7 linked regions of the Mus musculus genome follow. The protein of the gene in region 5 interacts with the protein of the main gene of each other region in a pairwise test. Links are inferred from orthologs where the notes say so. Each region holds a gene or a part of one and is shown on either strand. Other genes may lie near its edges.

Evidence for each region.
Region 1: the proteins of Pom121 (region 5) and Atxn1 interact in binary tests that used the Homo sapiens proteins (3 or more experiments, as listed by UniProt). The link is inferred for Mus musculus from reciprocal best matches to the Homo sapiens genes POM121 and ATXN1.
Region 2: the proteins of Pom121 (region 5) and Lpxn interact in binary tests that used the Homo sapiens proteins (3 or more experiments, as listed by UniProt). The two-hybrid records come from large-scale screens. The link is inferred for Mus musculus from reciprocal best matches to the Homo sapiens genes POM121 and LPXN.
Region 3: the proteins of Pom121 (region 5) and Cep76 interact in binary tests that used the Homo sapiens proteins (3 or more experiments, as listed by UniProt). The two-hybrid records come from large-scale screens. The link is inferred for Mus musculus from reciprocal best matches to the Homo sapiens genes POM121 and CEP76.
Region 4: the proteins of Pom121 (region 5) and Nfkbia interact in binary tests that used the Homo sapiens proteins (3 or more experiments, as listed by UniProt). The two-hybrid records come from large-scale screens. The link is inferred for Mus musculus from reciprocal best matches to the Homo sapiens genes POM121 and NFKBIA.
Region 6: the proteins of Pom121 (region 5) and Homer3 interact in binary tests that used the Homo sapiens proteins (3 or more experiments, as listed by UniProt). The two-hybrid records come from large-scale screens. The link is inferred for Mus musculus from reciprocal best matches to the Homo sapiens genes POM121 and HOMER3.
Region 7: the proteins of Pom121 (region 5) and Golga2 interact in binary tests that used the Homo sapiens proteins (3 or more experiments, as listed by UniProt). The two-hybrid records come from large-scale screens. The link is inferred for Mus musculus from reciprocal best matches to the Homo sapiens genes POM121 and GOLGA2.

Annotation. Positions count from the first base shown.
Region 1 is NC_000079.6:45,962,129-45,966,307, forward strand, and holds the start of Atxn1 (ataxin-1), read right to left. Parts: upstream 2,864-4,179; 5' UTR 2,687-2,863; intron 2,498-2,686; exon of another isoform or gene 2,477-2,497; intron 2,257-2,476; exon of another isoform or gene 1,446-2,256; intron 1,310-1,445; exon of another isoform or gene 1,201-1,309; intron 1-1,200. UniProt on the Homo sapiens protein: Chromatin-binding factor that repress Notch signaling in the absence of Notch intracellular domain by acting as a CBF1 corepressor. Binds to the HEY promoter and might assist, along with NCOR2, RBPJ-mediated repression. Binds RNA in vitro.
Region 2 is NC_000085.6:12,822,512-12,826,082, reverse strand, and holds part of Lpxn (leupaxin), read right to left. Parts: intron 2,140-3,571; coding exon 1,972-2,139; intron 1,285-1,971; coding exon 1,111-1,284; intron 994-1,110; coding exon 912-993; intron 1-911. UniProt on the Homo sapiens protein: Transcriptional coactivator for androgen receptor (AR) and serum response factor (SRF). Contributes to the regulation of cell adhesion, spreading and cell migration and acts as a negative regulator in integrin-mediated cell adhesion events.
Region 3 is NC_000084.6:67,638,556-67,642,687, forward strand, and holds the start of Cep76 (centrosomal protein of 76 kDa), read right to left. Parts: upstream 2,801-4,132; 5' UTR 2,620-2,800; coding exon 2,557-2,619; intron 1,609-2,556; coding exon 1,453-1,608; intron 1-1,452. Other genes in the region: Psmg2 (proteasome assembly chaperone 2), read left to right, coding at 3,124-3,180. UniProt on the Homo sapiens protein: Centrosomal protein involved in regulation of centriole duplication. Required to limit centriole duplication to once per cell cycle by preventing centriole reduplication.
Region 4 is NC_000078.6:55,489,778-55,494,138, reverse strand, and holds the start of Nfkbia (NF-kappa-B inhibitor alpha), read left to right. Parts: upstream 1-1,491; 5' UTR 1,492-1,612; coding exon 1,613-1,839; intron 1,840-2,360; coding exon 2,361-2,469; intron 2,470-2,808; coding exon 2,809-3,019; intron 3,020-3,279; coding exon 3,280-3,368; intron 3,369-3,472; coding exon 3,473-3,733; intron 3,734-4,169; coding exon 4,170-4,217; 3' UTR 4,218-4,361. UniProt on the Homo sapiens protein: Inhibits the activity of dimeric NF-kappa-B/REL complexes by trapping REL (RELA/p65 and NFKB1/p50) dimers in the cytoplasm by masking their nuclear localization signals.
Region 5 is NC_000071.6:135,384,483-135,388,053, forward strand, and holds part of Pom121 (nuclear envelope pore membrane protein POM 121), read right to left. Parts: intron 2,514-3,571; coding exon 2,342-2,513; intron 463-2,341; coding exon 371-462; intron 1-370. UniProt on the Homo sapiens protein: Essential component of the nuclear pore complex (NPC). The repeat-containing domain may be involved in anchoring components of the pore complex to the pore membrane. When overexpressed in cells induces the formation of cytoplasmic annulate lamellae (AL).
Region 6 is NC_000074.6:70,289,483-70,293,053, forward strand, and holds part of Homer3 (homer protein homolog 3), read left to right. Parts: coding exon 1-19; intron 20-569; coding exon 570-691; intron 692-1,524; coding exon 1,525-1,681; intron 1,682-1,835; coding exon 1,836-1,946; intron 1,947-2,034; coding exon 2,035-2,121; coding exon of another isoform or gene 2,122-2,142; intron 2,143-3,383; exon of another isoform or gene 3,384-3,492; coding exon 3,493-3,571. UniProt on the Homo sapiens protein: Postsynaptic density scaffolding protein. Binds and cross-links cytoplasmic regions of GRM1, GRM5, ITPR1, DNM3, RYR1, RYR2, SHANK1 and SHANK3.
Region 7 is NC_000068.7:32,305,276-32,308,434, reverse strand, and holds the end of Golga2 (golgin subfamily A member 2), read right to left. Parts: coding exon 3,140-3,159; intron 2,961-3,139; coding exon 2,742-2,960; intron 2,663-2,741; coding exon 2,560-2,662; intron 2,459-2,559; coding exon 2,352-2,458; intron 2,276-2,351; coding exon 2,119-2,275; intron 2,030-2,118; coding exon 1,815-2,029; 3' UTR 522-1,814; downstream 1-521. UniProt on the Homo sapiens protein: Peripheral membrane component of the cis-Golgi stack that acts as a membrane skeleton that maintains the structure of the Golgi apparatus, and as a vesicle thether that facilitates vesicle fusion to the Golgi membrane.

The sequences.
Region 1 (4,179 bases), on a different chromosome or scaffold from region 5:
CCACCTGAATGGGCCAAGGAACACTGTCTGTAGCCATGGCAACCTGATCTAATTACATGAGTGATCAGGGCTGGAGTAAGTGTACAGAAAACTAACACCACAGACAGTATCTATGATGAGAGAGGCAGACAGGCAGGAGGCTTCTCAGCCTCAGCTTTATGTGGAAGGTGGCGTTCAAGCCAATTTATTTGCAAAGCTGCTAAAATATTGACTGATGCGTGGCCAGTTAGAGGACAATCAGAGGAGATTAAATGCCACAGCTAAGCTGTTATGGTGCAATCCCTTTCCAAGAGTTCTTGCGCATGTTTTTTCTTCTCTCTGGTGGCTACCTCTAGCTTCCCCTGGCATAAGCTTCATTCAAAAATAAAATAAAAATAAAAACCCTCGGCTATCAAACTGTCTTAGCTACCCACCCACCATCAGTAAACCAGAGGGTAGGCTTAACCCAGGCTTCTAGGAATGGCAGGGCTCTTCATAAAGCTGGACACGGTTTAGCAAACACTATTGCAAAAAAGTAACCAGCTGCGCCTAAAAATACCCAGCATGTAACTACCTTGTTGCCTACGATCTATAGCAGTGCTGTTTAAATATTAAGAAGAGCTCGCATTATAAAACAGAAATGTCACTGAGATGACACTACTAGGTTGCTACAGGGAAACATAGGGCATACACACATTCCCCTGCATACCAGGCAGAATGTGAGGTGAGAACTCTAAAGCATTACTTTTTATTCTGTAGGTGGTGTGGGGTCTTCTAATTTTACTAATTGTATCCTGTGGCTCTCTCTCTGACAAACTAAGAAACCTCTTCGGGGACAGAACCAGTTTGGAGGAGTTCCTACTGCACAACATACGGTAAACAAAATAAAAATAGCTTGCCTTTCTTGTTAGCCACATAGCGCATTATATAACCAGCTTCCGACTGGCTTCTTTTTTTTTTTTTCCGCCCTTACTACTCTTCAGCAATTTCCCAACCTTCCCCAAGTATTTATATTGCCCTCTTATCTGTAGGATTATACAGCAAGAAAGCAAAACAAAACAGGACAGCCACGGGATCGAACTAAACCCCATCCTCTTACCCCTGATCCTCCCCCCACCCCACCCCCCGCGCCCCTGGCAGAGTCTAGATACAGCACCCTACTTCCACCCCCCACCACTAAGGTCCTTGCTCAATCTCCCTAGAAAACCTGAATTGTTTCACCTCTTGCAGTCAGCTCTCTACGTGGTCTGAAATAAAATGAAAGCGCACAAGCCACAGAGTTGAAGGAGGCGGCTCAAGAGAGGTCGAAGCGCTGCAGAGTCAACCAAGGGACCACCGTGGACCCCCACCCCCACTCCCCGCTCCCCATCGCGATGGTCCTGGTCCCCGCCCGGCGCGCGAACACACGCACACACGCACCTACACACTCACACGCACTTACTCCCTCCTCTCCGACCCCGCCTCACCTCTCGCTCCGCCCGTCCGGCCCCTTCCCTGCCCCCTGCGGGACCGGCCTGCGCGCTCGGCTGCAACCACGTAGGAGGCGGCGGCGGTGGCGGCGGCAGCCCTGGCAGTGGCAGTGGCGGCGACTCGGGCCCCGAGTGAACGAGCCGCGGGGCTCCGGGGCACATCCCAATCCCCGCAGCGCCTCCTCCGCCGCCACCTCCTCCTTCCCCTCCTCCCGTCTTCATTCACCCTCTCTGCCGCCGCGCAGCAGAGCAGTCCCGGCGCAGGGCAGCGCCCGCAGCTCCTCCGCTACTGCTGCGGGCGCCGGCAGAGTCGCCGGGCCGGGCTGGGGCGCTCGCGGGCTCCCGGCTCCAGCTCCGGCGGTGGCGGCGGCGTCTGCTGCTGCTGCTCTGGATCAGGAAGCGGCCGCACCAACAGGGCGGCGGTGGCAGCTGCAGCTAGGGCCGGTCTTCTCCCGCTGCGCTGCGATGGCCCGCGCGCCCTTGCCTCCTGAGGCGCCACCTCTCCGCGCCCCTAGCCTCACGCAAAGTCCCCTCTTGGTCCCCTCGTAGCCCCGAGAGGCTGGCCTAGGCGGGGAGACCCCAAGCTCGGGGTTGCCTCTGTCAAGCTAGGCGACCCCGGGCGGGGAAGCCCAGCCCTCCCTCGAGCCCCCGCAGCGCTCACCGCCCCCACCCGGGAGGGGGGACTGGAGAGGAGCGAAGAGGGCAGCGCGACCCTCCGCGGCTGCCGCCTCCCCCTGCGCCACACGGAAGGAGGAGGACCGGGCTCTATCCGCTCGCCGCCGCCGGACCGGCAGCAGCCGAAACGGGGCGCCGCCGTTCTCCCCACCCGCGCCCCCCGCCCGGGCGCGCCCCCTCTCCTGGCGGCCGCCCACCCAGCCCCTATCTGCTGCCCTTGCTAGCCGCTCCTGCTCCCAGAGGGGGTCCCGAGCCGGGAGGCTGGAGCCGGGCACTAGTGTATGTACACACAGTCACACATACACTCGCGCGCGCGCCTGCACACACACACACACACACACACACACACACACCACGACGCGTCGGTTTCCTTCGCTCCTCTTCCAGCTGTTTTCCGTGCAGCCCATTGAGACTGGGGGAGGGGGGGTGTATGCTGGATGTTCTTTGGCCCCTCTCCGGAGAGAGCAGATTGGGGTGCGGGAGGGGGTGATTTTAATCTAAATCGGGGTGGAAGGGGGAGGGGGAGAGAAAGAATCAGAGGAGGAAAAAAAATAGCCACTTACTGTAAAGTGTAAATGGATCTGGGGTTGCGTGGGGAAGGGGTAACAGAGGGAGAGACACAGTGTCCTGCGGCTGCTGTAGCTCTAGCTGCGGCTCCACAGGGCTTGTTTTGGATCCCCCTGCAGTGAAACAGGTCCTGTACGGCTCCTCCACTGTAGTAGAAATGATGTCTGCGGTATACTCTGCTCTCTCCTCCTCCTCCTCCTCCTCCCCCCTCCCCTCCCTCCTCCCTCCGCCCGCCCTCCCTCCCTCGCGCTCTCTCTCGCGCTCGCTCGCTCGCTCCAGTATGTAAATGTGTAATAGAAGCCAAATATGGAGCAGTTGGCTGCCGCCGCCGCAGCTCAAGGATCCGACTTCATGGGGGGGGAGGGGGGGGGGAGGCACCCTCTGGCAGGCGGCCCGGCGAGCCGCACAGAGCACGGCGAGCGCACGGCGCGGCTGCCGGCCCGCGCCCTTAACCCTTCTATGCACCCGGGCTGGAGCGGCGCTCGCTCCAGGGGAGGCCGGGTTGTCTCTCCGCAACTGTGGCTCCGGATCCCCGACACCGACCGGAGGGGACTGTGCCTTCCAGGTTTGAGAAAGGGGCGGGGAAGTTGGGGCGATGAGGTCATTGGAGTGGTGACCGATCGGTGCTCGCGCGCCTCCCCGGCTCCCTGCAACCTAGTTGGAGGGGGACAGGGTGAGTGCAGGGTGCAACTCAGGCAACCTGGGAGACTCGCAGCGACGGGTGTCAGGATTTGGCTCCTACTTGGTAAAATACCCAAGGGGGCGGGGAAGTCGGCTGATTTCTAATTACGAAGTGCCCTTGGTGCCCCCCGGGTGAGCATCTAAAGAGGACTCATTGTATCCTTACTGTTAACCCTCCAACCCGCCAGCCCTGCGTCATCCGAGGCAAGGCCCGCGCCTGCTGCCTTGGCTTGCAACTCGGGAAAGTTCTCAGGCTTCCCCAGCTTGCACTGGCACCCTCACCTTTCCTGCCTGGACAAGCTGGCGACCTCCCGGTCCTCCTTTCAAATTCTGCTGGTCTCGAAATCTGCTGTGGGCATGGAACGCCTCAGCTCTAGCTAGCCCTGGTAACCGACCTCACTCACTCCTCAGGGCTAACTGTGGATCATTCATTTCATCGCAAGCGAGGTAACCTGTGCACTGAGCAGTCAGTCGATGGTGGTTCTCGGGGAAACCAAGCGAAGGAACGCTCCCCCACCCACCTTGTCCCGGTGGCTAAACGCAGACGTGGACTCCCCACCCGGCCCCCTCCGGCTACACCTCAGCCAAGCGTAAGCTCGAGGGAAGAACTCTTCTCTGGAGGCGTTCACCTTGCCAACAGGTGTGGCACCCGAAAGAAGAGCCATCACATCCCCACGAGGGTCGCTCAGTGCCGCGTTCTCTTTGCAGCAGAAAATTCTTGAAGACCAGTAGGTGTCAGGCCAGCATCTGACCTCTTTCAGGTGCTTAGAACTGAGAGTCTGGAAACTCGATCCCTTGGTCTCGCTGG
Region 2 (3,571 bases), on a different chromosome or scaffold from region 5:
AGTACCCCAGAGCTCGTGTCTCTAGCTGCATATGTAGCAGAAGATAGCGTAGTCGGCCATCATTGGGAAGAGAGGCCCCTTGGTCTTGCACACTTTATATGCCCCAGTTCAGGGGAACACCATGGCCAAGAAGTGGGAGTGGATGAGTAGGGGAGCAGGGAGGGTGGAATATAGGGGGCTTTTGGGATAGCATTTGAAATGTAAATGAAGAAAATACCTAATAAAAAATTGGAAAAAGAAAAAAATAGAAAAGAAAAGGATCTCACAATTCTATCAGGTAAATTAGTGGTAAGGATAGCGAAAACTAAGCTAAAGGAAAGAAACTCAAATGCTGACTCCAAGGGGAAACAATGGTTTCATGTATTTAAGTGATATGGACACATTGTGTGGGGGATGGGGTGGGTGCATGTTTGTGTGAGTACAGTGTACATGTATATGGGTCATGACAACCTTGGGTGGCAGTCCTCTCTTTCCATGCTTGAGACACTCTCTTGGTTGCAGAGTGTGCATGAGGCTGGCTGGCCTTCAGGCTTCCAGGGATTCTCCAGCCCTCACATCCCTGGTGAACACCTGCTGTCACAGGCGTGTGCTCCAGGCCTAGCTCCTAAGCATGTCCTAGGGATTTAGACTCAGGCCTTCTTCATATTGGTGCAGCAAATGCTTCACCTACCAAGTTATCTAATGAAGTCACAGTCTGTTTTTAAATGATGAATTTTCACTTCTTTAATTTAAAAAAATCAATATAAATAAAACTTAGTAATGTTGGAGAAAGATACAGAGATGGCATCTAGGTGTGAAATGGACTTGTGACAGTGCTGAGAACCAAAACTCAGCAGACAGCAGTCCCCAAGGAATAGTGCTGTAGGCCTTCCCATCTCCCTCCCTTGCACTTGGCTGTAGCCCTCTCCTACCTTCTGCACCAAATACCTCTCCACAGTGAGAGCAGAAGAAGTGCTCTGGGTGCCATGTCTTGTTCATTGCTGTCAGCACTTTCTGAGAACAGGAAACACAGAGAGGTATTAGAAGACTTTAGAGTTGTAAAGCATGCCCAGGGCTCTGCATACACGGTCAGACAGTGCATGAAAGCTGTCAGGGTGGGGCTTTACTTACATCTGTGATGGGAGCAGCACAGTAGGCACAGCGTGGAGAGAACAGGCGGTGGTAGTCTTTTGAGCAGTAGGCCAGGCCACTCCGCTCAAAGAAGGGACTGGAGCCGAGCTCCTCCTTGCAGTGAGTGCAGACAAAGTGCTCTGGGTGCCAGGATTGCCCCAGAGCATGGATCACCTAGGAACATCATAAAGCCTGACATGGCAGTGCAGCAGAATGTACCCCTAGGGGGCACTCTGCATGCTGCATTTCATATAGACCACACCTCTGGGTTATATACAAGTAAAATAACCAGACTGATCAAGAAGCCAAGCAGATTCTACTCCTCAGATCTGAGCTCCTTGTTTCTCATCCTTCTGGAGTCAGATCAGAAAGCCCTGTATCATGGTTTTGGTGATAATGATTCAGAGTAAGTCCCAGTATCTCTAACTTAAAGTTACATTTAGCTGAAATTGCATGGATTACATATAAATCCAAGAATGTCTGAAGAAAGGGAACAGCATAAAAGGTAATCTCAGTAGTGGCAGTGAACAAAAGTGATTAGGAATTCAAACTCGGAAGCTAGACTGTCCTGGACTCAAGTGTCCCCCTTGCTTCTTACTTACTAGACCTTGGTCTTGCCAGTCAGTGTCACTGAGCTCTTGGCTTCATTGCTTGTGCAAATGGTACTCTAATAAAACCTCCTTATTGGGTTGATTCAAGTATTAAATGCAGAAATATTTACAAAACACTTAGTTCATATTACTGTAAGCAGTCAGTGACTGATAACAAGTACTCCAGCATCTTATAATATAAATAGAAAGAGCCATCCTTGGACACCCACAAACACAGAAGCTATTGGCCTGACATCCTAGATCACCCCACCTTCCCAGCAATTGGCTTCTGGCAGGAAGCACAGTAGCCCTTGGGGACTGTGGCAATCCCAAGATCTTGTAGTTCCTGTTCCAAGTCCCCCAGCATTGAGTCCAGAGATGCCTTGTGATCCTGCTGGTCTGGCAAGGGTTTCCTGCTGGTGTCTGCTTTCACTGAAACCTGGGACAAGGAAAGAACCACAAAGAGAAATCACCCCACGTTCACCTTACTTTTTGACATCCGCTATACAACCTATCAGTTCACGTCCAATGACAGATCTTGCTTTCCCCTAACCTTCCTTCAAGGTGCTGGAGACACCCAACATGAACATGAATAAAAACACTTTTATTTCTACTTTATTTCAAATTCCTTGACCAAAATGATACCTGATTTGTCATTTATTTGTAAATCTTCTGGCTGCCAAAAAAAAAATTGAGTGTATGAAGATTAGTCTTGGTGGCTCTTACAGTGGCCCGGGTAAAAACTATTTTATTTATTTATTTATTTATTGCCAAACACCTAATTTGTTCCACTCAGCATTCTAAGAACTTACTATAAAGCAATATGTAGAAATACTGAGTTTCTAACTCATGGAATTTTCATCTATGAATGGCAGGCAATAAACGTGATGCATGTCAGATAAAGAAAAGATGTAGGTTATGAGGTTGATGTGCTGGATGTAGTGTGATAAGTGCCAACTGACTCGGGCAGTGGCCTCTGAGGAAGAGTACTAGAGCAGACTTGAGCATATGTACTCAAGAATCCAGACATACTGGCATTAGTGAGATTGTCATTCCACAGAGAGAAAAGGCCCAAAGAATCAAACCATCTGGCATATTAAAAGAAAAGTTACAAGAGGAACAGAGCCAGAGCAGAAGGACTAGGACTGAACACACAGAAGACTGTATGGAGGGAAGTGAGGATTGTCTAGGTCCTTTATGGAAGACGTTTGACTCATCTAACAAGGGGGGACTGTGGCTGGCATGCAGCTAATCTGAGACTAAGGAAAGCGAATGTGGAGGAATACTTTGCAACGATTTGTGAGGTATTTAAGGCCAGTTAAGAGAGAGGGTAGCATTAAAAAATGGGGCTCAGAACTGAACAAAGAATTCTCACCTGAGGAATACCGAATGGCAGAGAAGCACTTGAAAAAATGTTCAACATCCTTAATCATCAGGGAAATGCAAATCAAAACAACCCTGAGATTCCACCTCACACCAGTCAGAATGGCTAAGATCAAAAATTCAGGTGACAGCAGATGCTGGCGAGGATGTGGAGAAAGAGGAACACTCCTCCATTGTTGGTGGGAGTGCAGGCTTGTACAACCACTCTGGAAATCAGTCTGGCGGTTCCTCAGAAAACTGGACATAGTACTACCGGAGGATCCAGCAATACCTCTCCTGGGCATATATCCAGAAGATGCCCCAACAGGTAAGAAGGACACATGCTCCACTATGTTCATAGCAGCCTTATTTATAATAGCCAGAAGCTGGAAAGAACCTAGATGCCCCTCAACAGAGGAATGGATACAGAAAATGTGGTACATCTACACAATGGAGTACTACTCAGCTATTAAAAAGAATGAATTTATGAAATTCCTAGCCAAATGGAT
Region 3 (4,132 bases), on a different chromosome or scaffold from region 5:
CTTAGCCAAAGAGATCTAACTGGGAAAAGTCTAATATGAAGGGATTAAACTGTCTTTAAGCCTTGCCATCCACTAAATGCTAAACACATGTAGACCAGGCTGGCCTTGAACTCAGAGAGCTCTGCCTCTCTCTGCCTCCTGAATGCTGGAAGAAATGGCATGAGCTGCCAAGCCTGGCTTTAAAAAACAAACTGATACCTTAAATAAGCTACACTTGCTTTAAGCCCTGTACAGTAGTTGGTTAATCAGAGTGGCGCACTCCTTTGCTTCCAGCCCTTGGGAGGCAGAGGCAGGCGGTCTGTGAGTTTAAGGCCAGCCTTGGCACACAGTTCTAAGACAGCCAGTGTTATGCAGTACTGCTGTCGCTCCCTTCAGACACACCAGAAGAGGGCATCGGATCCCATTACAGATGGTTGTGAGCCACCATATGGGTTGCTGGGAATTGAACTCAGGACCTCTGGGAGAGCAGTCAGTGTTCCTAACCTCTGAACTCTCTCTCTCTAGCCCACCACGAACTGAGTTTTAAAAAGTAACATTTATGAAGCAGAGGCTGTTAATGGGTCAGTTTTTATAACAAATAGGTTTGCAAACCTCAAAACCCAAAAGAGGCTAGTGTATTAACATACCCGATTCTCTAGCGTATTATGAAGTCCATCCTATTTTTAGTAGAATATGACTCTTGTATTGAGGCCACAGTTTTTCATTATTGCCTCATTTTCAAAATAAGGCCTACTTACAAAATGCACCGGGATATATCCCATTACTGACCTATTTGTACAGAGAAATGAGGGCTTTATGCAGCCAGAGCTTTTCTGATGGAATCTTGTGAGTGTATTTGTTTTAAAACAAACCTAACCTAAATGAATTAGAGAGCTATAGCATAGCGTAAGTTTCTGTCACGTCAGCGAAAGAAATACAGTGTCCAACAACTCCTATCTCATGAACTCTCTATTTGCCAACTCACGGTGGGGCCAACTTAGAACCTCTCAGAAAAGGAGCCAGGCGGTGACAATGAACACAAATGCCCTTAGTCCCAGCACTCAGGAGGCAGACAACAGGCAATCTCTGTGAATTTAAGACCTTGGTCTATAAAATGAGTTTCAGGCCAACCAGAGCTACTCATAGAAACCCAGTCTGGAAACACAAGCAGCGACAGAGGGAAGAACATTACAGGGGCAGCAGTGATGACTCAGCAGTTTGGAGCACTTGCTCTTCCAGAGGACCTGAGATCAATTCCCCCCACCAGCATCGTGCTGGTGGCTCATTCCAGTTCCAGAGGATCACAGCTGTCCCCGAACACTGTGAGCACCAGACCTACATGTAGGCAAAACAGCCATACATATAAATTCTTCTTAAAAACTAGGAAAAATGGCTATTACTAGACAGAGTGAACTTATGGTAGTTCTAAGAGAAGCCACGAGTGTGGACCTTATGTTGTAAACTGCTACTCACAGTCACAAAATTAAGTTCTTTCATTACATCATCAATGATTCCTCGACGTCTTAGAGCTTTGATCAGATCTTCTGTTGATAAATGTTGTTGATCCGGTGCTAATTCTTCTCGTATAGTCTCTGCAAGAATTTCTCTTATTCTGCCATGGACATCCATCTATGGAGAAACCACACATTAAGATTTACAAAATTACGCCTGGTGGTGGTGGTGTAATTTTATTCCTAGCACCCAGGAGTCAGAGACCTGAGGATCTCTTGAGTTCCAGGCCAGCCAGACAAACTAAACAAAGAGACACTGTCTCAAAAACAAACAAACAACCCCCCCAAAAAACAAAACAAAACAAAAACAGGAAAGCAACTTATAACATTATAAAGTAGATAAATACCACTTGTAGAGTTTTAGGCTTCTAAAACTAATGGCAAATACCCAGTGCCAATAAAAATTGAGCCTTTTAAGAGGTGAAACTTTTGAGCAACATAAGAAGCAATCTGAACTGGTTGGTTATCAACCGTTATTGCTGGTTGCCCGCAAATAAGTCAATGGAAGCAATTCTTTTGGGAGGGAATGGAGGATAATCAAAAGAACGCAGACCTGGAAGGAGGCAGAACAAAGAGCGAGTTATTTCAGCTTTCTCGCTTATTCAACTTGGAACTCTAATTTGTCCGTCTATTTCCTTGCCCGTGCGAAGGAAAAACGAGACCGTTTTGAGGTTTCGACCAAAGAAGCTAGAGACTCTGGCCACAAGCCCTGGCGCACCACCACCACCATAAAGAGGCTTTATTACTTCAGCTTACAGCCGGCAGTCGAGGACAGAAGGGAAGACTCCTGGAAGCCCCGAGTGGGGTAAACGCGTTCCTTGTCAGTCATTTGAGCGCCCCGTCTCCCATAACTTCTTACTGCCATCGGCCTTCCTGGTGTAAAGGGACCCTAAACATCTGGCCTCGGGCTAACTTGTACGTGGACATCTGGAAAGCGCCGGGACCGCCTCCGGTTCACAGCGGCTCCCTCGGCTCTCACACCCGACCGAAGCTTGCCGGCCCGCCCGCCCGCCCGCGCCCGCTCCGCAGCTCCGGTTGCGGGGACCGGTCCGCCCGAGGTCCTCACCTTGCTCAGCTGCTGGTGGATGAGCTGCTTCAGCTCCGAGGCTTTCTCCGGAGGCAGCGACATGCCGGCGCTGGCGCCTCGCGGCCGCTAGTCGCCCACCTCACACGGTGCAGCGGCGGAGCCCGTCGTCCCGGGCGCGCAGCATCAGCGGCGGGCGGAGCACAAAGCGCCGCGGCCGCGTCAGACCTGGCAGGGCGGGAATCCGGCAGCCGCGGCGCCCCAACTAACTTAACTGTCTTCAAACGGTGCGGGACTGACAGACGCCGGGGCTGGCCTGTGAGCCGCCTGATCGACGCCGTCCACCGCTCCGCCTCCTCGTCCTCGCGGATCCCGCGCGCGCGGTCCCCACGTCCTCCGTCGCCAGTCCTCGACCTACGCCCCCCGGGGAGCGCTACCCGCCGCGCGCTCCAGCCTCGTTCTGCCCTGCGCGCAGGCAGCGCGCTGGACGCCTGCAGGACCCGAAGGACCCGAAGGACCCCGGACGATCGCGAGTTGCGCCTTCTGTCCCAAGGAGGTGGCCTCGCTATCCCGGCGGGCGCTCAAGCTGCTCCCACGCCCACTGCAGTCATGTTCGTTCCCTGCGGGGAGTCGGTCCCCGACCTAACGAACTTTACACTCCTGATGGTGAGTCTCTACTTGAGTTGACGCGATCGCCACCCCGACCCGGGAAGCGCCACCTGGCCTTAGGAGAGCCGGGCACATGTTTCTGCTTCAAGCTTTTAGCTTGCAAACAAACAAACCTGGAAGTTATCCCTAGAAGCGGCTGTCCGATTAGCATCTTTGTCAGCCCTATCAAGGCCTGTCTGCTAGCTGAGACTTTCGTTGCCTGCGACCTGTAGCGTTTGTAGATTGCAGATATATTGCATTGTAAGTCGCACCGGGGAATCCCTAAGCTTTATCCGTGGAAATGTTTTTATGTAGTTAGGGTCCGTATTGATCTAGACCATCAATTGCGTTAGAGAGCTGATCACAGCCTAACAGGCAGTTGTGGAATGATCCTTGTTAAGTCATCCGGACGTGCTGGTCATCAAAGTTTACAATGTAGCTAGGAACATCAGTAGATCAGTAAGAGCAATAAATAAGACAGGAGATGAAAAAGAGAAAGACTTGAGATCATGGACCTGAGGAAGGCTGGGAGTGGTTTGACCAAGCCTGTATTCCCAGCACTCCGATTGCAAGGCAGGCTGGAAAGGCAGCTCCAGGCCAGCCAGAAGGAGACCCGTCCCAATAAATAAGCAAATCAACAAGAACAACAAAACTTTAGGGGAAGGGGCTAAAGAAAATGGCTCAGTAGTCAAGCCTGTCTGGCTTACAGAGGATGGAATTCTTAGAGGCTCACAATGGCTTATAACCAGTTCCAGGGCTCCCTGACACCCCCTTCTGGCCAACGAAGGTATTTGCACTCACGTTTGCATGTACTCACGAGATAGACACATCATTTCAAAGCGTTTTGAAATTTTAAAAAGTTGACAGGAAAAACACAAGGGCTTTTGATCTTTTAGGAAAATTAGTGACCAAAAAGATGGGCTTAGGATTCTTTAAAAAAAAAAATCTATCTAAAACAGAGGTGCATATT
Region 4 (4,361 bases), on a different chromosome or scaffold from region 5:
AGTGACTTCTCCAACTAATGTATTTAATGAAAGGCAGAGCGTGGAATTGAGATGTCCTGCTCATGATCAATCTCACTATGTCCCACTCAATTACACTTGCAGATCCAACTTGCCACTGAGAGGAAAAGGAGAATTCGCTGAGGAAGTTTTAACTTTAACCTGGCCCTTACTGTCTGGAGGCTTTTTGGTTTTTCCTGGATTTTGAATCTTTTCCCTCAGTGTCTTCACATGCATACTCAGGGGGAGGCGCTGGAATTCCAAAGAGAGGAAAGCTGACATAAGGCTCATTAAGAAAAAGATCATTCACATCTCACCAGAAATCTATGCAGAACTAGAGAGGCCTCCTGGATCTGGTCTGACAAACTCTGATCCACGTTGCTTTAATTTTCCCTAAGTAGGGGTGGGGTGGAAGTAACATTTGTACTTTTGCCGGTTAAACTAGAGGCTCACAGGCCCAAATCCCTTTCTTGGGGGAGCAGCTACCCATAATGCCGCGGTCCCTTGGGAGCAAGGAAGCTGATAGAAGCAGCAGGTTTCAGATGGGGTCTGTGTTAGGACTATCTTGAGCCTCCTGCAGGATACCTCACAGTTACTTTTTTAGCTATGTTTGAGAGGCCAGCCTTGGCTAGGGCACTAAGTCAATTGCTCTGCTAGGCATTCACAATAAGCTCCGGCTTCATTCTCTGCAACAAGTTAACTCCGACAGCAAGAACGCAACAGTTGCGGTTGCAAGGAAACTACAACTTCTACTAAGATTAACAGCTTGCATTACTTGGGGAAAAATGTGGTTCCCATACGGAGCTAGGATTTGCCCCTCCCCCGGGGGGGGGGGCAAGATTATTGACCCCTAGGAAATAATCTAGGGGTTCTCCAAGCTCTTGGTTTTTGTTGGTGGTGGTGGTGGTTTTGTTTGTTTTAATGCCAAAGTTTTTACAGCTTCATGGAGTAGGAGTGAAGGACAGCCAAATGTCCCTGCATTGCAAAGGGCCTGGAACAGACAAAACACAGCCGGCCCCGGAACCACTCATATGTCCGTCGTCGCAGAAATTTAGGAGAAGCGAATCCCTGCACCTAGCCAGCGTTTCCACTCTTGGGTTTTCAAAAAGATCAAAAACCGGAAAAGACCTGCAAACTGGCAAATCGCTAAGAGGAACAGCCTAGCAGGTCTGCGTCCTTGGAAGCTGCGCAGCTTGGGACCCCAAACCAAAATCGCCCGGTGGGAAACCCCAGGGAAAGAAGGGTTCTTGCAGAGGGCTGGGGTTACTGAGTGCAGGCTGCAGGGAAGTACCTAGAGGGAGGGGGCCTGGTCGGGAGGACTTTCCAGCCACTCAGGGCTCATCAAAAAGTTCCCTGTGCATGACCCCAGTGGCTCATCGCAGGGAGTTTCTCCGATGAACCCCGGCCCTGGGTTTAGGCTTCTCAGTGGAGGACGAGCCAGTTCTTTTTCTAGTCTGACTGGCTTGGAAATTCCCCGCGCCTGACCCCGCCCCTGAGAAATCCCCTGCCAGCGTTTATAGGGCGCCGCGGCGGCGCTGCCGAGCCCACAACAGTCAGACCTCGCCAGCCAGCCGCCAGCAGCCTGCAGCCTGCACCCGCTCAGCCCCGCACAGCCATGTTTCAGCCAGCTGGGCACGGCCAGGACTGGGCCATGGAGGGCCCGCGGGATGGCCTCAAGAAGGAGCGCTTGGTGGACGATCGCCACGACAGCGGCCTGGACTCCATGAAGGACGAGGAGTACGAGCAAATGGTGAAGGAGCTGCGGGAGATCCGCCTGCAGCCGCAGGAGGCGCCGCTGGCCGCCGAGCCCTGGAAGCAGCAGCTCACGGAGGACGGAGACTCGTAAGTGGCGCCGGGCACCGGTGGGGGTCGCGCGGGGCCTGCAGCGCGCTCGGGGTTCTGCACGGCGAGGGCGCCGGGGTTGCGGGGCGCCGGGGCTGCGGCGGGCCGCCTGTCTTCCCCCCTCCCCCTCCTCCCCTGTCCCCGGACCCGGAGTCGCCGAGCGCAGGCCGGGGGGGGCGGGGCGGCAGCGGCGGCGAGGACGCAAAGTCCCGGCCTGGCAGCGGTGGCGCGCAGCCGCCGGGCGCCGCGCGGCCGCGAGGGGAAGTACAGGGCGTTCCGGGCGGCGGAGGGCGGGCCGGTCTGGCCGGCGCCCGCCCGGAGGGGGTGGGGCACGGAAAGTCCCTGGGCGGCTGCCAGGAACACTCAGCTCATAATAACCTCGCGGAAAACACCGCGGCCGCGGCCTCCAGAAACCCCGGCCTTGCGCAATCCCCCCTCCAACCCCACCTCCAGCCCGCGCCTCCCCCCCCCCCACGCAGTGTGCTCACCACCCCTCGGGGGGTTTCCCTGTCATCCCTCAGGTTCCTGCACTTGGCAATCATCCACGAAGAGAAGCCGCTGACCATGGAAGTCATTGGTCAGGTGAAGGGAGACCTGGCCTTCCTCAACTTCCAGAACAACCTGCAGCAGGTGCGCTGCTTGCTTGCCCCGCGGGTGCCCTCTTTGACCCCTTGGTGGAGTCAGATGTAGCACGGTCGCCCCCAAAGCGTTTCTAAATTAATAGTCACTTAGTTCTTATCTGCCTTGGCCTTTTGCATTCAAATCAGCCAACGTCTTAGAACCAGAAGAAAAATCCCTTGGGTTTAGTGAGGTCTTTATGACCCACCTAGGGCCTCCTGTTTGCCTGATCTCCTAAGAGACAAATGGGAGGATCAGATTCCATAGCGGGAGGTGTCTGGGGTTCAGGAAACTCAAGACTATGGGTTTGCTCCATGGCTTATCCCTTTCTGTTTCCTCTTCCATTTGTAGACTCCACTCCACTTGGCTGTGATCACCAACCAGCCAGGAATTGCTGAGGCACTTCTGAAAGCTGGCTGTGATCCTGAGCTCCGAGACTTTCGAGGAAATACCCCTCTACATCTTGCCTGTGAGCAGGGCTGCCTGGCCAGTGTAGCAGTCTTGACGCAGACCTGCACACCCCAGCATCTCCACTCCGTCCTGCAGGCCACCAACTACAATGGTAGGTCTGCCAGTCCATCCAAGGATGCAGAGGAGGGAGAGAGATGGGGCCACTTGAGTCTTAAACTCCGAACGTATACAAAGTTCAGACACTGTGATCTTTTTAAAAAGTTTTCTCCTCGATGCCTATATGATATTCACTCAGAACCCAGATTCTGAGTTCTTCAAAACTGATGATGTTTGTGGTTGTCCTCAAGACAATAGACATGAGTTGTGTGAGGATTGAAACACGTAGTTACAGTTTTTGTCTTCCTCCTCCAGGCCACACGTGTCTGCACCTAGCCTCTATCCACGGCTACCTGGCCATCGTGGAGCACTTGGTGACTTTGGGTGCTGATGTCAACGCTCAGGTGAGTACATCTCCCTTCCACCTAATCTCTGTTGGGCTGGCTCTGATGGTGAGCAGGTTTCCAGATGCAGCCGTAAACTAACGCCTGATTGCTTTTGGTTTCAGGAGCCCTGCAATGGCCGGACAGCCCTCCACCTTGCGGTGGACCTGCAGAATCCTGACCTGGTTTCGCTCTTGTTGAAATGTGGGGCTGATGTCAACAGGGTAACCTACCAAGGCTACTCCCCCTACCAGCTTACCTGGGGCCGCCCAAGTACCCGGATACAGCAGCAGCTGGGCCAGCTGACCCTGGAAAATCTCCAGATGCTACCCGAGAGCGAGGATGAGGAGAGCTATGACACGGAGTCAGAATTCACAGAGGATGAGGTGAGTGTTCCTCCCCTCAGCACGCTGACGGCTGTTCTAGGGCTGCTTTGGATCAGAGGGATTTCAGTTGTTTAACTTCTCAGACTCGGCTTGCAAAGCCAGGATCCCAAGAATTTGTCTCTGGTTTGTTTTAAGAGCTTACCCTTTTGGGTTGAGGAATGAGGGAATTCTAGAAATTGAACCCAGGCCTTAGCACATGGTGATAAGCACACGTTCAACCATTAAGCTCCACCCCCTCAATAGCTTAGACTTTTTTTTTTTTTAAGGAAAGAATAGGTAAGGGAAACTCCTACAGCCTGGTGCCCTTGTTCTATTTGGGTTAAGGAGAAAAAGAGCCCAAGAATAGGAGTTATTTCAGCAGCAGCTCTCCCCTTATCCCAATGTCTTGGTGAAGTTCTAGGAATTTAATATGTCTTTTTCCCCTCTCTTGTTTTAGCTGCCCTATGATGACTGTGTGTTTGGAGGCCAGCGTCTGACATTATAAGTGGAAAGTGGCAAAAAGAATGTGGACTTGTATATTTGTACAAATAGAGTTTTATTTTTCTAAAAAAAAAAAAAAAAAGAAAAAGAAAAAAAATGAGAAAGGGTATACTTAGCACCACACCACACAGCGCCTAGACCCAGGCAT
Region 5 (3,571 bases):
AGATAGGGAAAATAAAAAAGACTGGGTGGCAGGTGAGGCCAGACACAGACAGACCTGATCCCCGAGGGAGCCGAGCTCCAGTGAAGGGTGAGCTGGGGCCAGGGACTCAGGCTCCCTGCTGACCCGGTCCACTCTGCACTCCACTCCCAGTGGCCTCTGCACCACTCCCACTGGAGTATGAGACAGAGAAGGGACCCCAACCATCAGTTGCTCACACTGTAGGACAAGGACACAACTCTAGCAGGCACTTTGCTGCTCTTGTATGGTTTGACTCTGATTTGCTGAGTCAGATAAAGCAGCCCAACAGCTAATCCTTGTTAAACCCGCTGCCCCTGTCCACACAAAGTGACCAGAAGGGACCGGTCATCACCTTGTCTTCTTGGCTGGCCTCTCTGGTGTCTGGGAGCGGGAGGAAGCTGGACTGGAGAAGGGAGAAGATGTGGGACCACTCCTCTTCCACAGCTGCAAGTCAAGCAGAGAGACAATCTGAAACTACTACTGACAATATGGCTATGTAGGCAGATATTCTGACCTGGCCAGGCAGGAAGGCACACACCTTTAATCCCAGCACTAAGGAGGCAGAGGTGGATAGATTTCTGTGAGTTCAAGGCCAGCCTGCTCTACATAGTGAGCTCCAGAACAGCCAGGGTTACTGAGAGACTGTCTCAAAAAACTAAAAGAAAAAAAAAAATCAAGAAACACAGCAAAACTAAACCTTTCTGAGAGACTGGAGAGATGGCTCAGTGGTTAAGAAACACTTGCTGCTCTTGAAGAAGACCCATGTTTGGTTCCCAGCATCCACACCAGACTGCTCACAAATACTGTAACCCTGTTCCTAGGATGATGGATGCTTTCTGGCCTCACACAGGCTCAAATAAATAAAAATATCTTTCTTTTCTTTTTTTAAGACCATATCTTACTGCATAGCCCTGGCTGCAATTTACTATGTAGGCCAGGCTGGTCTTGTTAGAGTATTCCACCACATACTGCAAAATAATAAATCTTAAAAAAAGAAATAAAAGGACTGGAGAGATGGCTCAGCAGTTAAGAGCACTGGCTGCTCTTCCAGAGGTCCTGAGTTCAATTCCCAGCAACCACATGGTGGCTCACAACCATCTATAATGGGATCAGATGCCCTTTTCTGGGGTGTCTGACAGCTGCAGTGTACTCATATACATAAAAATAATAAATATCTTAAAAAAGAAATAAAGAGGTAATTCTTGTATTCATTACATATTCTAACAAAAATCATCTATAGTAAAAAGTACAGCCTCTATTTTTACAGATTCTGATATTCCATGAATATGAGTATTAGATACAAACTGGGCATGGTGGTGCAAGCTGAACACCTAGTGCTTGGAGGCTGAGGCAGGAGGATCACTACTAGTTAAAACCCAGCCTGAGCTGCATGCACAATAGCCAGGGATACATGAGACCTTGTCTCAAAAGGCAAAAGCAAACACCAAGGGCGACTGATCTACCTGCAGGAGCCTGTGCACCTCCTAGTGTCAATACCAATACTGGAGCCCAAGTGTGCCTGACAGTGGAGCTGCCTGGCTTCCCCACCTATGGGCTCTAACGAACTCTAAACAAGAATGACATCTACTTCATGAATCAAAGCTTACACTAAATCCTACTTGCCTATAAATCTCCTTTATACACCATTGCATACACTAGCAAGCGTTTGCTGAAAGGACCCTGATATAGCTGTCTCTTGTGAGTCTAGGCCGGGGCCTAGCAAACACATAAGTGGATGCTCACAGTCAGCTATTGGATGGATCACAGGGCCCCCAATGGAGGAGCTAGAGAAAGTACCCAAGGAGCTAAAGAGATCTGCAACCCTGCAGGTGCAACAACATTATGAACTAACCAGTACCCCGGAGCTCTTGTCTCTAGCTACATATATATCAAAAGATGGCCTAGTTGGTCATTACTGGAAAGAGAGGCCCATTGGACACGCAAACTTTATATGCCCCAGTACAGAGGAACGCCAGGGCCAAAAAGTGGGATTGGGTGGGTAGGGGAGGGGGGGGGGAATGGGGGACTTTTGGGCTAGCATTGGAAATGTAATTGAGGAAAATACGTAATAAAAAAAAAAAAAGAAAGTTTAAAATAAAGAAATAAATCTCCTTTACATTCCAAAGGGAACAAAACCTTTCTAAATCAGTACCATTTACTGCACTGGTCCATCTGCAGGTTGCTCCATCTGGACCAGGTTTGCTTTCTGTTCAGTCCCACTGATCTCGTTAATTTGCTTTGTATTCCAGTTAGCCTAGAGACAGGTTCAGTGCAAAGCAACAGAGGGTGAGCTGCATCCTCTGCTCCCGGCCCTGAGACATACCTGTGAGATGCCACGGGTGGAGCTGTAGGAGCTGGTGATGGCATTGCGGCTAGAACTGGGGATGCCTCCTGTGCACGCACTAGCCAGGGAGCTCACAGAGGAGGTGCGAGACCGTTTGTTCAAGTGGTCATCTGAGCTCTGGGAAGCCAGACTTCTCTTCAGGGAGCCAGGCCTAAGAGAAAGGAAGAAGTGTACATGCGCTACTGCAGGCGTATTCTGCTATTTCCACCATGGTGCCTCACCTTTCTGAATAAACCTGAAAGACCACCACAATGTTCCTCAAGGCCACTGTCAGCAGATGACATGGCTGCCTATGTCTGACAAAGTGACTGGGTAAAAGCACAGCACGGGAAACACAACAGGAAGGGTTACACCTTGACTGTGGTGTCATGGGGACAAAAACGTAATGTCTGTCAATGATCCCTCAATAAAGCTGCTAAGAGAAAAATCATTAAGCCTCTAACTGAAAGAGAAATCTCCCATAATCCTTTCTGTCAATGTGTGTTACCTAGCCCTACTACAGTATGGTCCTCTTACCATTTCCCAGGCAAGTGCATCAACCACAAACCAGTTCGCTGACAACTGCAGCAGAGGCAGCCAATGTTCCCCTCCTTCCACTAGCACACCATCATCTTGGCTCGCTCCCAGATGCCTGTGCCTCCTCTAGGCTGGAGCCTCCAAAGCCAGCCCCTGTCAGGCTTTCCTACCTCAGCAGTCCACACTGTGTATGCATGTCTCCCACGGTGCAACACAGTGAGCTGAGTGCAAGGCTTGACAGAGCCTTTTTACCACACTGGAACTTATGCACCTTCTATGCAAACTTCCTCTCATACACTCCATATCAACACTTCCTGCCCTGCAGAAGCCTGTGGTCCATTTGTGAAGGGTCAACTGCACCATGTTAGTGAAGCAGAGTGAGACAGAGCAAGCACGAGACACTGGCTGACTGCTTTAGTTAGTGGTTTACTTAAAGCACTGCTTACGGCCCATATCTAAGCATCACTTCACTTACTACTTGGAACAGAATACCTGGAAAATTACCAGTTTGTTGCTCTTAACAACCTGACCACAAGAGCTTACACCTGTCATCTATAATACACCTTTAAAACAAGCTGACTGCTCATACGCATCTGTAAAATCGCACTTGCTTATTCGTCCCACCTCATAGTTTAGATGAATAGAAGATGAGAATATGAACGGGCCCAGGACCAATCAAGATCTTTTTAGGAG
Region 6 (3,571 bases), on a different chromosome or scaffold from region 5:
GGCCCTTGCCTCCCATCAGGTAGGTGTTCCTGCACCCCATGTCTTACAGTACCCCATGACTACCACACCCCTGAGGCAGCCATATATGCTTCTGATATCAGGGGCCATGCACTGTATTAGTGTCTAAGGATGGCTGGTGGCCTAACCACATTTATGCACGTGTGCACACATGTGCGTGTGCCTGGGTGCACATGTGGAGCTCTGAGGATAACTTGTGGGCGTCAGTTCTCTTCTTTCAGCGGGGCATCAGGCTTGGTGACTAGCCCTTCCGCTGGCCCATGCCTCAATTTTACCTGAGGGAGAGCAGTTCCAAGTGTTCAGATCCCTGTTTCTGTAGGCTGTTCTGATTTGGCCCTGAGGGACACCAGGCAGGTGGGGGACAGGATTCCCTATCCAGAGGTTCTGGGGAGATATGGAGCACCAGTGAGGAAAGAGACACACTGGTCATCGGGGGTCAGTTCAGACTCCCTGACCTCAATACCCCAGTGGCTTCAATCAACTTTACTTCCTACCATGACCTTGACTGAAGCAAATGCCCACCGTGACCCAGTCCTGGCTCCCATGCACAGGTTCCTCCAAGCCCCTTGGTCAGCACCAATGGTCCAGGCGAGGAAAAGCTGTTCCGTAGCCAGAGTGCGGACACCCCTGGCCCCACCGAGCGGGAACGGTTGAAGAAGATGCTGTCAGAAGGGTGAGTGGTGTAGTTGGTGGAGCCTGCATGAAGCCAGATGGGCATGGCAGGGGCCTAAGGGGTGTCTTGTGTTCAGACTGAACTTTCGGGTGGTTTCTAGTGTCAGGGTCTTTTGTTTTGTTTTGTTTTTTGTTTTTTCGAGACAGGGTTTCTCTGTGTAGCTCTGGCTGTCCTGGAACTCACTCTGTAGCCCAGGCTGGCCTCGAACTCAGAAATTCGCCTGCCTCTGCCTCCCAAGTGCTGGGATTAAAGGCATGCGCCACCACTGCCCAGCAAGTGTCAGGGTCTTGATTGTCACTAAAGGAGTGTGATAGGGTAGGACATCCCCAGGATAGACCATTAGGATGGTTTTTCTGGGGTCAGGGTCCTGCAAGAGGTAAGGGACGTGGGCAGTAGGATGGGCGTGGTCATCGAGGTGAGACCTGTGGGGGATGTAGGAAACTACAGACCTGGGAGAGGTTCCTGCCTCTTCTGGAAAGGAGGCTGCACTTTCCTCATCATTCATACCCCCATCTCTTTTGACCATGGGCCTGACCCCTCTCCCCACCCCCCATTGCTTTCATGGCAATCTGGAGGGCAGGGATAGGCTTCCAAATATTTTTGGAGGTAGGGTCCTGTTATATATCCCAGAACTCATTATACATAGCCTAGGCTGACATTGTTCCTAAGGGGATTCTCCTGTCTCGGCCTCTGATGAGCCACAACTCCACATGTGGTTTCATGGTCCCACTCCCTGGCTTAGTGTTGCTTTGGCCCTGCTTAGTCCAGGATAGCCTCCTCCAGATGCCACTGTCCTGACCATGCACACCCCCAGCCCGGTGTCTTCCCTCCAGCTCTGTAGGGGAGGTCCAGTGGGAGGCAGAGTTCTTCGCGCTTCAGGACAGCAACCAGAGGTTGGCGGGAGCCCTTCGGGAGGCCAACGCAGCGGCCACTCAGTGGAGGCAACAACTGGAGGTCCAACGTGCAGAGGCTGAACTCTTGAGGCAGCGGGTGAGGACCCCTCACCCCACATCCCTTCTACCCATCAGTCCCCAGCAGGCCATTTCTTGCTGTAAAATGATTTGAAACTGTGAGAGCTTCATAGGGGTCATCAGGCCCTTCATGTCCCAGAGGATGGTAGGACCACTGGGTTGCATGTGTGCAGGTAGCAGAGCTGGAGGCCCAGGTGGCTGTAGAGCCAGTCCGGGCAGGAGAGAAAGAAGCAACCAGCCAGTCGGTGGAGCAGCTGGAGGCTCGGGTGCAGACCAAGGACCAGGTGAGCCAGGGGCAAGCTTAGGGATCGTGTCGTACTCTCCTCGGGAATCCAGGGCCTCTGAGGACACCTGGGACACCTTCTTCTCCAGGAGATCCAGACTTTGAAGAATCAGAGCACTGGCACCCGAGAGGCTCCAGACACTGCCGAGCGCGAAGAGACACAGCAGCAAGTTCAGGTTGGCTGCAGGACCTCAGCTGTAAGAGTGACCCCCTGGGGTAGAACAGGTCCCATCTGCCTGCGAGTGGAATAGGGCTGTCTACTTAAAGTTGCTAAGCAACCTCATACTTAGTCTTCCCACATCTGAGCAGTCTAAGGTCCCAGGGAAACTTCCAGAGACCTCAGCCAAGAGTATCTGGAGCATCTCCAGGAATGTCCTGGGGAGATGACCCTGTTGTCTTCGAGGGCGGGAGCAGATTGTGCAAAGGCCCAGGACCCCAGAATCATTGGCCCTCCTGGTCACAGGACTGTATTCCCAGGGAGAGAATCTACAGGAAGCCTGTTCTATGCATTTATATGTCACCCAGGTACCACCTATCATGGGTTTTTGTGTATAGTGTATGTGCATACATACATCCCATGTGGGTACAGATGCGCATGCATGTGTATGGAAGCTGGAGCTGCTGTCTTCCTCAGTTTCTTTGCACACCATCCTTTGAGACTATCTTACTACCAGAATGGCTGGGTGCTGAGTCAATCAACAGTGGGACCCTGCTCTCCCACCCTGAGGTTACAGCTGCTGGCAGTGGCTGTGGGCATTAGATTATGTGTGGGTGAAAGGCAACTGAAATTCAGGGCCCTCAGGTAACCATCTCTTTAGTTCCACTGCCCACTTCATTAAAAGTGCTTGGCTCCAGAGCATGCTATTAAGCATTCTTCCCTCCTTCTATCATGTGGGTACTGGGGATTAAACCTTCATCTTGGGGTTTTTGTTTTTCATACTGACTGTGTCTCTAGCAGCAGCTTCCCGAGTGCTGGGTTAAAGGCCTGTGAGACATGCAGTGCATGTAGCTTTAAGATTTAGTTACATGTGTGGTATTGTACACCAGTGCTTGGAAGTGAACTCAGGTCTTCTGGAGAAGTTCATACTCTTACCCACTGACCCATCTCTACAGTCCATCTTGTTTTTAGAAACAGGGTCTCTAGCCAGGCAGTGGCAGTGCATGCCCTTAATCCCTGCACTTAGGTGGCAGAGGCAGGATTTCTGAGTTTGAAGCCAGCCTGGTCTACAGAGTGAGTTCCAGGGCTACACAAAGAAACCCTATCTCCAAAAAAAAAAAATCAAAAAAAAAATAAAAGAATAGGAAGAAACAGTGTCTCTTACTGGCCTGGGGATGCTTAGGTTGTCCAGTATGCTCTAGGAATCCTGCCTGTCTTCCCAGCAGTGGGATTACAAATGCTTGCCAGCCATGCTTTGTATGTAGCTATTGGATTCCAAACTCAGTACTTCACACTTTAATGGCACTTTACTGACCCGGTGAGAGCCATGGGCCACATCAGCCATAACTGGCAACCAGAGCTTCCACCCCACCCCGTCTTCCCCGTGTAGGACCTGGAGACCCGGAATGCAGAGCTGGAGCAGCAGCTGCGGTCGATGGAGTGCAACCTGGAGGAGGCGCGGGCCGAGC
Region 7 (3,159 bases), on a different chromosome or scaffold from region 5:
TGAGAGGACGGTGTAAACTGGGCACTGAATGGAGGGTGAGGAAAGGCCCTTGCTAGGGTGCTTGTGAGTTTAGCAGGTCCTCATCCTACGAATCCTGCTTACACCACTAGGGGGCAGTATCATGAGCTCAGCCAGGATGCTGTGAACAGCCTAAAGAACAAAACAGGTCTCTAGTGTGGACAGACTAAGGGGAAGGGTCGGAATGTAAGAGGCCTGGCCTGGAAGTCAGCGCCCTTAGTTGCTGCACCCCGAGTCCCACCTATGTATACTATATGTCAGGCTTGACTCTCTTACTCAGTAAGGAAGCTCTGTCCCTGTAGCCCCATGGTACTCCCCCTGGGGTCCCTAGGCTTCAATAGGCAGTGTATAGGTGATAGGTGTCAATCAGCCCTGCCAGGCACTTCAGACCTTGGGCTCCATACAGGCCAGAAGCCTGCTCTCTCCAGGCAGGACACATTCCCTGCTCAGTGCCAGCCTGAGGCTAACCCCAGAACCAATGACGAACACCCTAGGCCCAGCAGTATGGCTAAATCCATTTATTTCCCAAGTAAAAAGCAAAATAAAGAGGAGCTGCATCAGCAGGTGCCACAACCTTGTCTCCGCCTCCTGCCCTCTGACCTAACACTACCAATAAATAAGGTTCCCAGCCCAAAGTGATTATTAGAAGCTCTTCCCATTTGCCAGCTCCAACCTCCACTATGATACAGGGGTGTCCCTACCCCGGTATATACAAAATAGTACACAGGTACAATATGTACACCGGGGGAGGGGAAGGCCACCCTGCCCCAGCAGCCTCTGTCCTGCTTGGCGTAGTTACCCCAATTGTCATAAGGCCTGAGAGAATGGTACCCACTTTCCCTGTCCCAAAGTGCCTCAAAAAGATGGAAGCCCTCCAAAGTGGGATGCCTTCCTGAGGCAGTTAGCCCCAACTGCCTGAGGACCCATGAAGTGCTGCCCAGCCCCACTGCCCTAAAGTGCCTCTGAGAAGATGGGAGTTGATCTGGGGACCTGCTGTGCCCTGGGTTCCATCCCCAGCATCACCACACAAAGGAAAAAGGCAGGGAGTGCTGGGGGTAAATCACTTGGTAGAGTGCCTGCTTAGCACTGCCAACCACCAGGCACAGCGGTGAGGCAGGGGCTCAGCTCGGGCTACAGGAGACACTCCGTAAAGAAAATGAAGATAAAATGGGGGCGGGGAGGAAAAGGAGGATAGGGAGGACTGAGCCGGTGAAAACTTAGAAGCCCTGCTGAATGCTAGGCCAGTTTACCAGCCTGCACTGCACCTGGGCACGAGAATGCTGCCACTCTGTTCTGCCCCAGAGTCCTGAGTAAGGCCTGAGGCCCTCCTTGGTGAGAAAGCCCCCAGGCCACCCAGCACAGTCTGCTCCATCACTGAGTCTCTGGCGTTCTTTCTGTAACAGGAATTTACAAAGTAAAACTGCCCTGGCTAAGAGGCAGATCTGTACCAGTCTGTGTCCCCCATTAAGATAGGAGCCTGATCTTTTGGTTTTTTCAGACAGGGTCGCATGTAGCCCAGTGTGGCCTCAAACTCACTAGGTAGATGAGGATGGCTGATTCTTCCACCTCCACTTCCCAAGCACTCAAATTACAGGTATCAGCCTTTTCAGAGGTACTGGGGACCCAAGGCTGTGTGCACAGCAGGCAAGCACTCTACCAACTGAGCTACTTCCCCAGCCCCTGGAGGGGATGGAGTCTGACCTTATTATTATTATAAAGATAAGGGTGGCTGAGGAAGGGTGTGGGTTGGGGCAGAACCTCTGGCTGCCCTTGCTGAGGCTTTGGCCGCCAGTCTTTTATACAACCATGATCTTCACCTCGTCGTTCTCATCGGCACGGTAGAAAAAGGGGATGCAAGGGTTGCTACCCAGGCCTGGCCGCTCCCGGGGGTTCTGGATCTCACGCAGCAGCTGCATGATCTGCTGTGCAGTAGGGTTCTCATGGGGAGCAGGTACCCCTGCCTCTCCTTGTGCAGGCTCTATATCGTCAGCCAGGCTCACCTCCCTGAGGTCTTTAGAGAAAGGGGGAGGGGGTCATGGCTCTGCACGCCATGGGACTCCTCCCCTTTGTGCCTTCCCAAGAGACAACAGCTCTACTCACCATCCTGCTGGTCAGCAGCACCAAATTCCTGGGAGCCTGTGGGCACTGGGGTGAGCACGTCACCAGGGTTCTGAGAGACGGCCAGGAACTTGCCCTGCCATTCATTGCGCTCGTTCACAAGCCTCAACACCAGCTCCTGGAGCTCCAGCAGCTTCACCTGGAGAAAAAGGAGCTCAACTTGAAGGGCCCAGCCCAGATTAGGCAGGGCCTGGACTACAGAAGTGTAGGCCTACCTTCATCTCCTCCTTGTCCTGAGCCAGCCGGCTGATGTATTCTTCCTTCTCCAAATGCCGAGCCTTCAGCACCGCCCTCTGATTTTGGTAAAGGGCAATGTACTCTCCTGTGGAGACGGCAGGCAGGTGGACAAGGCTCAGACACTGTGGCTCCCCCAGTCTACCCCCCTGCACAGCCCCCACTGCCTTGGGCTGGGCTCCACCTCACCAATGGTGTCTGTCTCTCCAGAAAGCTGAATGCAGCAATGTTCAAGCTCCTCTACCCTCTCCTTGAGCTCCACTTTCTCCTGCATGACCTCCAGGAAGCGGCTCTGGAGCCAAGACAGAGGTCTCAGGGACTCAGGAGCCCTGGCTGGCCCCCACACTCCCAGCCCCCACAGACAAACTCACCTGCAGCTTCTCCATGGCTACATGTAGGGCCTGATTGCTCTCCTCAGATGCAGAGTCATCCACATTCCTGGGGACCACTGCCTCCTTTTCAAGCTTGCTTTGGACTGGGGCTGCCAAGTGAGACAAACTCCGGCAACGTGCCTTCTGCTCTTTCAGCTGCACACGTAGTCGGGCCTGTTCTTCCTCTGCTCTGGCTATAGCGGCATTAAAGAATGCCACCTGCACACAAGAGGGAGGTGTGCCTTTCAGGGAAATGCTCAGGACAAAGGGGGCAGGGCAGAGAGGGAGACTGACCACTGGCTTCCAGGCACAAAGTGGCAATCAAAAGAAGTCAGAGGGTAGGAAACCGAGGACCACAGAGGTAGAAAAGAGAAGGGGCAAGACAGAGCCCAGCTCACCATGGCCTCTCTACTGTCTA